2 linked regions of the Caenorhabditis elegans genome follow. The protein of the gene in region 1 interacts with the protein of each later gene in a pairwise test. Each region holds a gene or a part of one and is shown in the gene's direction. Other genes may lie near its edges.

The links.
Region 2: the proteins of ztf-6 (region 1) and ztf-28 interact in a two-hybrid assay, tested with the Caenorhabditis elegans proteins (one large-scale study listed by BioGRID).

The regions. Positions count from the first base shown.
Region 1 is NC_003279.8:11,204,916-11,212,421, forward strand, and holds ztf-6 (Zinc finger protein ztf-6), read left to right. Parts: upstream 1-2,006; 5' UTR 2,007-2,070; coding exon 2,071-2,187; intron 2,188-2,494; coding exon 2,495-2,605; intron 2,606-3,284; coding exon 3,285-3,863; intron 3,864-4,989; coding exon 4,990-5,349; intron 5,350-5,713; coding exon 5,714-5,854; intron 5,855-6,251; coding exon 6,252-6,386; 3' UTR 6,387-6,990; downstream 6,991-7,506. UniProt on the Caenorhabditis elegans protein: Probable transcription factor, involved in regulation of dopamine neuron lineage specification. May play a role in maintaining robustness of the Wnt/beta-catenin asymmetry pathway.
Region 2 is NC_003283.11:2,088,796-2,092,266, forward strand, and holds ztf-28 (C2H2-type domain-containing protein), read left to right. Parts: upstream 1-1,873; 5' UTR 1,874-1,885; coding exon 1,886-1,997; intron 1,998-2,058; coding exon 2,059-2,705; intron 2,706-2,760; coding exon 2,761-2,820; 3' UTR 2,821-2,945; downstream 2,946-3,471. Other genes in the region: gtnt-27 (Glycosyltransferase family 92 protein), read left to right, coding at 1-194, 805-952; gtnt-26 (Glycosyltransferase family 92 protein), read right to left, coding at 2,958-3,252.

The DNA.
Region 1 (7,506 bases):
ATGATGATGGGCTGGGGGGGAATGGGGGATTAAGCAGCTTTAAGGAGGAATGATGAAATTGGCGCCGAAAAAGAGCACTACAAAAACTACAAATTTTTTGAGCCTCAACCAATTTTCATTTGAGCTCGATTCCAGCATCGACTTCTGTAGTTGCGTGAGGTTTTGAGAAACTCAATTTTTGAGCAAACCTCAACCAAAGTTTCTACTGGGAATTACTAGACACCTAGCTGAGACCCTGTTTTTGGTGAAGCCGAGACTACAAACTGCAATGTTTGTTGGCCTCAACCATTTTTACTTTTAGACAACTCGAGAATCCGGTATTTGGGCTACAAACTACAAAGTTTGGGGTATGCGGCAATTTGCCGGTTTGCTGATTTGCCGGAAATTTTCAATTCCGGCAATTTTACCAATTTGCCGATTTGCCGAAAACCGGAAGCCCCTGGTACAAACTATTAAGTTTGGTTAGCCTAATCTTGTCGGAATTTTTCTGAAGCATCAGTTACAGGTAGCAAACCTACCGTGACGATTTGCATCTGAGTGACTACAAACTACAAAACTAGTTAGCCTCAACCAATGTGCAAAAAATCTCCCTCGAATCTTTCGACATCTTCTCGGAAATTTTAGACACATACACTAAAAACGTGTGTGTGTTGGTAATTCGGTGATGTCGTTGTCTCTCTAAAAACGGACGGTGTGGTGGTGGGGGCCACCTTGAAGGTCACCCGTACAGAAAAACGGGAGTGTCGGTGGGCGCCGGGCACCGTCCCGTCCGTCTATCCATCCGTGAGTAGGAGAGTGTCATCATTGAATTCAGCTGCGCCTGAATTGCAGAGAAAAATTGTGTGTCGTCCTTGAACGCGCGGGGGGCTGGTGTCTCTGCAATCTCTCTCTCTCGCAGTTTGTGATGAATTTCAAGAAATTTGGCATATGTTCTCTGAGTAATACTGGGTCCTTTTTCGCTTTTCAGAGGTACTTGACCTTCACCCATTCAGTTCGGACCCCCCTATTCAGTGAGAAAATTGTAGGTTTTGTAGAGGTCCAAACATACCTATTTTGAATAATCTACGGATTTTCTGATAGTTTGAGCTGAAAATTAGGGTTTTTATAAGCTCGGAATGTATTTTTTTAAAGAATTTTTCAATTCAAAATTGATTTACCTATCCTGACATATTGTGCTGTTTTAGGAAAAAAAATTAGCTTACCTCCCAGTTTTCGACCTTTATTTTCCACATTTCCCATTACAGATTGCTGTTTTCATCTTGAAATTTTTGGGTTTTGACTAGAAAATTGATTTTTCCAGCTTAATTCTGGGTTCTTCTCTACATTTTCACTTAATTTCCACTATTTTCCACAGTTTTCGCACTGTTTTTCAATTTTTTCTCCGCTTGAAATTCTCGAAATTTGAATAGAAATTTGATTTTTTGCGGCTAAATTCTTCATTTTTTCTCACTACATTTTTCCCGTAATTTCCCAATTTTATTTTGCATTTTTCACGTGGTTTCAGGCTGTCCCTTTCGGTTTGATCTACGTTGATCTACAAGAAATTGCATGGTTAAGAACGTGCTAATGTCACATTTTTTGAGCAAAAAAAAACCCGCATTTTTTGTAGATCAAACCGTAATGGGACGGCCTGGCAACACGTGATTTTCCAAATTTTCTGCTCCCGATTTTCCAGTAATTTCCCTTCCAAAAATCGAATTTTTCCATTAATTTTGAGCTATTTCTATAATTTTTAGGCTAGAAATTTGTTTCGAAACGCATTTTTTCACTAAAAAATTTCTCTAAAATTTGTAATTTTTTTTCGAATTTCCGCAGAAATTACACTTTCTCCGAAATTTTTATGTTGGAATTTTGCTCCCAAAAACTCAATTTTTGAAAAATTCAAATTTTCAATACTTCCCTGCCATTTCTCTAATTCCGTGCATTTTTCCACCTTTTTCCACCGATTTTTTTTCTAAAAACCTCCCTTAAAATCAAAAATCCGGCTAATTTTTCCCAATTTTCAGCCAAAAATTAGACTAGAATACCATCAACCACCACCTACACCACCATCACCATCATCAAGAACAAATGGGACCGGATACGACGTCGGAACGTGTTAGCGAGGATCTTATGCAGGCTGTCACATGTCTGAAACGTGTGATGGTCGGTATGAAGAGCAATGGGACAGATTATGTTCAGGAACAGGTGCGGCTACCCGAAAATTTGAAGAAAAACGATCAAAAATTGACGTTTTTAAGACAGTTTTTCGGTTTTCTCATAAAATTTTAGTCCAAATCACTGAAAAAATGGAGAAAAAAGGATGAAAATGGACTACAAACTACAACTTTTATTAGCCTCAACCATACAAAAGTTGGGCTAACGAAGCTTTGTAGTTTGTAGTCACTCGCTCCTCCATTTTTTTGGTTTTTTTTTTAATTAAAAAAATTCTTCTAACTAAAAAATCACCGCTTTTTCTAAAATTTCAGCCATTTACCAATTTTTCAATTTTCAGACTCCCTCCAACAGCACTACCGTAATATGCACACTTGTCAAAATCACCGGAGCACTGGAACGATGCATCGAGAGCAATAAAGCGATGAATGATGTGCTCAACGGGAAAATGGTGAGCATTTGAAAAAAATTGTGCAAGAATGCTCAAAATTGTGTGTGTGTAGTTTGTAGTCTGAACATTATAGTTTGTAGTTTAGCATCCGGTGACTGCAAACTACAAATTTAGCTTGAAAATATAATTTGAAAAGTTGAAGCTAAAAATTGAATTAAATCGCAAAACTTTAACGAAATTTTCAACAACTTGATTTCGTAGTTTGTAGTCTAAGTCCTTTGTAGTTTGTAGTATGGAGTATAGATACTACAAACTACATTAAATGGCTCTGGCTTCAAAATGTAAAAAATCGAAATTTCTAGGATATTTATTCCTCAACATAGACACTATAAACTACAAAGTTTACAAACAAAGAGGCTGAACAAGTTTTGTAGTTTGTAGTCTAGACCTCAACACAAGAACTACAAACTACACAGATCTTTGAGATTCTGCTAAAGTTTGTAGTTTGTAGTAGTGTTAGCCTCACCGAAATCAACACGACTTCTATTTTCTTCAATATTTGGACTACGAACTACAACGAAAATTTTTAGAAACACTACAAACTACAAAATTCTTGTAGTTTGTAGTCTTAGCCTCACTCAAGTATAATGTTAACTTGAGCCAAATCGAATTATCCCTCCCCTCCGTCTTCCACACATCCCCAGTGCCTCATTAATTTCATTGTCTCTTCTAATTACAGAAATGTACAACATGTGGCGCAACATCTGTCGGCCTTCTCTCGGATTGTCATGACAGTGCGACAAGCACAACGACTACCGTATCACACAGATCATCAGAAGAGCCACCGCGCCGAAAACCGTCTGCCGCCGGCGGCGATCACGATGACGAAGAGCTCGAGTGCTCGTCCATCGAATCACGAAGCATCCGATCCGTGAGCAGTTCAGTACACACTAGCGCCGAGGATGATGAGACGAATCAGACGATGATGGTACCGACGGATGTAGCCGATGTGATCAATGCGATTGTGGCAGGAACGAACGGCTCCAGCAACTCCAACACCACCAGCTCCTCGAAATCCCCTCAGGAAGAGGAAGAAGAGCATGATCTTGTGATGAAGTCGATCCTGTCGACGACAACGTCCACGTCGAATACAAAGCTGGAATTGAGTGAAAAACTGGAGAATCCACTCCAAGACACTGCTCTGCTCGATCAATTCCTTCAGGCATCGCTTCTAGGCCAGACGCCTACAGTCACGCCTGCATCGGAAGAGAATGAGGAGGATAAGGAGCAGAATGCGGTGCTGACCAGCTTTTTGCAGGTAGGGATTTATTTGAGAAATTTATATCGGCAAACCGGCAAATCGGCAAACCGGCAAAATACCAGACTTGAACCGCGCTTTTTAATGTTTATTAACTACAAACTAGACATTTTGCCTACCTGTCAAGTTACAGCTCTTATTTGTAGGAGGAACCATTTTAATGAAAACTGAATTTTCTAGGTTTTCCTTGAAAATTATGGAAAAATTCCCCGCTTAAAACGCAAAAATTTCGTCAGAAACGGTAAAAAGCCAAGAAATGGGCGGGACCAAGACGCGGAAATTCTAAAAATTAGGCTCCGCCCCTATTTCTTGGTTGTAAGAATTTTTGAATTTCTAAAAAATTTTGACAAACTCCGTGAAGGAGACCTAGAATTTGAGAGAAAATTCGGTGCAAAATGGCGAAAAAACCAAGAAGTGGGCGGAGTCTCAAATTGACTCCGCACTTGTTTTATGGCTCCATTTTGTACTGAAAATTATAGATTTCATTCAATTTTGGAAAAAATTCCGCCTTTTGGAAAAAATCCCGAAACCAACCAAAAAAGAGTTACCCTGTTAGTTGAGGCTGAAAAAAATTGTAGTTTGTAGTCCCTAATGACGTGTGGCAAATCTCATTTTTCACAGCTCATTTGCCGCTCTAACATAGATACATTCCTTGACATTATCTGGACGGTGGTACTGTAATTAACTCGTATTACCGTACGTTTTAATTACAAATCAGATCGAATGGAAATTATGTTAATTTGTTGAGAAAACTGAAAATACTGCTGATTGCAATGGCGGCCGACATCCTACAGGTCAAAGAGCATCTGGTTGTGTAGTTTGTAGTCTGAGGTTAAAAGTCCAGGGGCACTACAAACTACAGAGTTGATTATCAATATGAACGAAATTTGCGAAAACTGGATCAGGTTGAGGGATATACATATCCTGTAGCCTGTAGCAGGGGTGGCCGGAAAACGATTTTTCCGGCAAATCGGCAAATTGCCGGAATTGTAATTTCCGGCAAATTGGCAAACCGGCAATTTGCCGATTTGCCGAACGGCAATTGCCACCCAATTCTGGTTTGTAGTCTAAAATTAATAAAATTATTAAAACGAAATATTTGCAGTCGTAACTTTACAATTTCCAGATTCTGTTCGCCAACCAACAAGCCGGCAATGCGATCCTCGACGCGGGCTCCAGTGAAAATGACGGATCCACGTCATCATCCCAACCATCACCACCAGCCGATCCAACAGCCTCACTTGACTCGCTGGCAATGTTCGAATCACTTTTAGCCGAGTCGATGAACGGGAATGTGCTCGATGCGAATACCTCGTCAGCTGACCAGAAAGCGGCGGCTCGCAAGCGAAAGAGCACACCGATGAAGGTTCCGAAGTCGGAAAATGGTGCTGGATATATTTGTCCGATGGATGGATGTAATAAGGTGTTCAAGGAGAAAGGATCAGTGCATCGACATTTTGTTACGCATATTGGAATGCGTTTTAATGTGAGTATTTTTAATGTGAGGCTTTGTCTCAGGTTTAGACTAAGTGTACAGCTTAGGCTTGAGTTTAGGCTTAGGCTTCAGGCTTACACTTAGGCTTAGGCTTACGATTAGACTTAGGCTTAAGCTTAGGTTTAGGCTTAGGTTTAGGCTTGGGCTTCAGGCTTACACTCAGACTTAGGCTCCGACTTAGGCGTAGGCTTAAGCTTATTCCTCCTATAAAAAATCGAAGATTTTCAAATTAAAAAACAAATTATTTCAAATTCGCTTTCTTTAATTTGCTTCAATTCAATCACAATTTTCAACATTTTTTTTTTAATTGTAGTTTATAGTCTTGAAGCCTCAACCAACATCCAATATTTTTCAGTGTGACAAATGCAAGGCCTCGTACACCCAAAAGCATGCTCTAATGCTCCATCAGAAGATTCATGCCAATCCGGACGCCTATCAGTGTAGAGGATGCGGTACCAATTATACAACACAAAATGGTCTTCGATTGCATAGACAGGTAATACGAATTTCCATTTTTTTTGTTGAATGTTGGAAAAAACCGAAAAAAAAATTGAATTTCGCGCCAGAAAAATTTTTAGAACAAAAATTAAATTTGAATTTTTGGAAATAAAAATAAAAATTTATTTTTGGAAAAATTTTGAATTTTACTATAATTTTTTTGAAGAAATTTGAATCTAGCGCCAAATGTTTAAAAATTTGAATTTCGCCCCAAAATTTTTTGAGAATTAATTTGGTTCGGACTAAAAATTTAGAATTTCGCGCCAAATTTTTTTAGAAAATAAATTCAAGTTTAGCGCCAATTTTTTTTATAACGAATTTTGAGTTCTGCGCCAAAATTTTACGGAAAAAAAATTGAATTTCGAGCCAAAACTTTTTTGGAAAAAAATTTTCAGAGAAATCCAGCATGCATGGAAGTGAGCAACGCCCTTGAATTCAACACCTCCCTGAATACCTCAATTAGTGAAGCGCTGTCTGGCCCGCTGAGCAAAAACTCGTCGCCCACGAAGCAAATGGTCTCGGCTCCGTGAAAAGTTTTTTTTTTTTTCGTTGCTTTCCCCCTTTTTAGACCTCAAATATTCCTGTACTCTCCGATACGCGTGCAATTTTTATCTCAAACAGACCCACCAAAAGCCCCACCCAATTTATTAGTGAAAAAAGGTTTTAATAATTAAAATAATTATTATTTTATATCGAGAAATCAGATAAGTTTTATTATCGATTTATTGATTTTTTTTCCTGTCTTTGTGTGTTATTTCCTGTCTCTATCCTTGATTTTATTACGCAAATTTTTTTGTTTGGAAATTTTTTTATTATTTCTATATGCATCTAATTTCACTTGTTCTTTTACATACAATTCGAAAATCATAATAATTTTTTTTTCTCGCAAAAATCTCTGAAAATCATCCTTTGCATTTTACACCCCTCCCCACTCAAAACCGTCATAATTTAATTCCCCACTTTTTTTATGGATCGATACTTTTTATGGCAATAATTTTTTGTTTTTTGTACTTTTTTTTGGACTTTTTTGTCCAAAATTACCCTCTTTTTTGGTGCTTAAACCCCCACCCAAATATTCGTTTTTTTTGCTCCCTTACACACACCGAATGCCTTTACAATAAAAGACTTGTATTTTTTTTTTGAATTTGGATATTTTGAAGAAAAATCGATTATACGAGGTTTAAAAAAAATTTGGAAGAAAACTTATTTTTTAGAATATTTTTTTCCGGCAAAACGGCAACTTGCCGGAATTGAAATATTCCAGCAAATTTGCCGAATTGTCGGAAATTTTTAATTACGGCAGTTTTGCCTATTTGCCGGAAATTTAACTTAAATTTCCCACCGAAACTTAAAAACCATTAAAATTTGAATTTCCAGACTATGTTTTTCTTAAAATAAAATTTCAAATTTGGCGCCAAAATTTTTCGAAATCAAAAAGGTTTGAATATCGGATCAAAAACCCGTAAAAGTTTTTTTTGAACAACTGAAAATTGAAAAAAAAAATTTTTAACCCAAAATTACGTGAATTCAATGGCTATTCAAATTCAACAGAGCTTTTATTTGAAAATCTTAACTAAATAACAAGTAGGATCTTTAAAAACTTCACCAATTAATACCGTAATTAGTGTCTAGAAACCAAAAAAAGGGAAC
Region 2 (3,471 bases), on another chromosome or scaffold:
TTCACCAATCTGCAAGACACCATCGAAAACCTGGAGGCGCTGAAATTCCGGAACACTACTAGAACTCAAATCTGGGAATCTTCAAAAAGTATATACCGCCCGGAAATGGTCGCCGTACAAACCTACCATCACACTCATCTACAGTATCCCGGCGTTATCGTGAAAAATGTTCCCAGGGAGACTGCCGGGTTTAGGTAGGTTTTACACATACGTGAAAGTTTGCGATTTTTGGACCAAAATATGGTACTCGGTCTCGACACGAAAATGTTTTGTTTAATACTAAAAGGTGTGTGCCTTTAATGGGTACTGTAATTGCAAACTTTTGTTGCAGTGGAATTTTCTTTCGATTGTTTTCTGCAGAATAATATTTTTTATCGAAGAACTATGAAGAGCCCACCAACGTACAGTACTCCTTAAAGGCGCACACCTCTTCGAAAATACAAATTATCGTGTCGAGACCAGATATCGTATTTTTAGCTCAAAAATCACAAAGTTTCGCGTGTGTATAATAACACGGTCATATGTAAATTCAAGCAGCAGCTCGTGTACTTCTCGAGGAGAAGTGTGCATTTGTTTTTTGCAGAGATTTTTGAATTTTTACTGAAATTCTTGCCGATTTTTGTGTATTATTTTTGAAAATAGTGAGCATTTTAGACTGAATTTTCTAATTTTTTAGTGTTTTAGGCGGAAATTCTGTAGAAAAAATTACCGAAAATGGCCAAAAATCAGGAAATTTTTGCCAAAAAACGCACACTTGTCCTCGAGGAGTACACGAGCCGCGTAAATCGACACTGACATTTTCAGACACTACCGAATGACCTCCGTCAGAAATAGTATCGGAAATGGTTGGATTTACGGCGACAACTTCACTATAACCGAGCTGGATAGGGAGCTGGAGAAGCTTCTGGTGCATAAAGTTGCTAATATGGCTGAGCATATTTATGGGTCTTGAAATGAAGAAATTGCAGTAACTTACTGTACCGGTTTTGTATTCCTTTTTTTTCATGTCGAAATAAATCAAATCACAAAGTAGCGCCAGTGGGAAAATTGCTTTAAAACATGCCTATAGTGTCACAATGGCCAAATATCATAGTAAAAAAATTCAATTTTTTTTTCTAAATTTTATATGACTTTTTGAAAATTGGAAAAATCTCAGTTTTGCCCGAACTGCAATTTGAATTACCGCCAAGAGAATTCGTTCGATGGAGCGCGCTTGCACGTTTTTATTTTTATTTAAAATTAAATATTTATTGTTATTTTCACTCATTTTTCACCGATTTTTCATGTTTTCAGTGTATTTTTTTTTTGAAATATAAAGAAAAAATTAAGATAAATTCAAATAATCGATTGAAAACCTACTTTACAAGCGTAGAAACAAAGAAGTAACACTTTTAAACGACGTCGACCCTGAATTAATTAATTTTACAGATTTTTTTCGTTTAAAAATATTATTTATTAATTATATGATTAATGTGATTAGTGAGAAGCTTTTTTAGTCTACTATCCTTGCAAAAATTTTGTAGGTCAGTAAAAAAATTCTTTTTTCTTCTACACTCAAAATAATAAAACTGCGTTGCGTGTACGACCAAATAGGCCCCGCCTTTTAATCGTCCACTCACGGGAAAAAGGCAAAAATATGGGAGGGGGGGGACAGCTCGCCACGCCAACAGTGAGAAAAATAGTGTGGTGCGCGGACCTCGAATGATGTCGGCTGCTGATATTGGCTACACCAGCCGCTTTTTGCCTTTTCCCCGTGAGTGAACGAGAAAAAGGCGGGGCCTATTTTGGCGTACACGCAACGCAGTTTTATTATTTTGAGTGTAAATTGATGTAAAATTCTAAAATTTTTCTTCAAAATGTCCTCTTCTTTCAGAAAATCAGCTTCATGGATACTTCCGATCACAAGCCCCTTATCGACCGCTTCGAAACGGAATTCGCTGAAAAATCGTCACTGCTTCGCAAAGAAGAAAGCGAGCTTAAGCGGCCGGATCTCAGAGGTGAGTTTTATTTTATTTTTTTTTGTAATTAAAAAAAAACATTAATTTTTCCATTTTTCAGGCGATTTCCTCTGCTTGTCCTGCGGCCAAAACTTCAAGCACGGCGCTTCTCTCAACCGCCATCGTAAACTGGTGCATAGCGACGAGTACACCTGCATGCTGTGCGCCCGTAAGCTCTACCTGAAGGAGACCGTCCGTGATCACATGAGAAATGAGCACTACTTGGGTCAAGTATACACCTGCGGATGCTGTAACTGGACGTTTTCCAACAAAAAAGCCCTCACCGAACACGCAAAGGCCATACAGGAAACCGGAGCTCCAGGAGACGCCAACCCGATTGCGAAATCCGGCAATTCACCGGGATCACTGCTGAAATCGCCAATTCAAAGAGCCGGCTTCAAGCTTAATCGTCTTTTGAACAAGTCTCTGTCGCCGTCGACTTCCAATTCAACAACGTCCTCATCTTCCCGCGACGCTTCAGGATCGCCCCAACCGGAGCTGGAGCTGAAGCTGGAGCCAGAGCCAGAGCCAGAGCCCAATGAAGAAGCTCTCGAGTACAAAAGATTCTTCAACAATGCAGTCGACACAATTCTACAGAGAAATTTTTTCACCGATCAGCAGATCACTGAAGTCGACACATGGGTCATAATCATCGAAAGTGCGAATGCTCTTGCGACGGCGCTTCAGAGCTACAAGAAAGCTCAGCAGGTAGCTAATTAAAACATTTTTTTTAAAGATAAATTTTCAAAAAATAATTTTTCAGATCCAGCCAGCCGAGCCAGCCATGATCCCAGAAAAGCGCATCAAGCCGGAAATTGAGTAATCGTTGATGTTCGAGTGTCTTCATTATGTTTATAGTTCTACCTCACTGCTCACTTTTTGATTTTCATGTTATGTTAATTTACATTTTCAATTTTCGATAAGCTTTAATACATTATTTTGATTAAAAAAAAGATCCAATTACTGATAGCATCCAATCTCATCACTAAAGAATGCATCACTCGCCCAATGGAATGTGATTGGAAACATGGGCGGCCCGGAGTGATACGTGGCATCTGAATGGGTACACGGCATCGCTTCTCGTTGTGAAAGCTCACAATCAAAAGCATTTACACACGTGGATTCTGCAGAAAGAAGGCCGGCGTCTCGAATGTGATAAAATGATTGATTATAGCACTGGAATACGATGTTCGTATAAAAATCATCTTTGGGCAGAGAGGAGGTTAAGCTGGTGAATTCTGGCTGGGAAATTGTGCTGAAATTTTTTAAAATTTGAACTTTTGAAATTGTGGTTCCCGGTCCTGACACGACACATTTTTGTTGAATGCAAGTGTGTGCCTTTAATGAGTACTGTAACTTTAAACTCGGGTTGCTGCGTAAGGTATGAAATATCGATAAAAAAACCAGAGTTTTTGAAAATACAGTACTCTTCAAAGGCGCACACCGCATTTACAAAAACTGGTCGTGTCGAGAC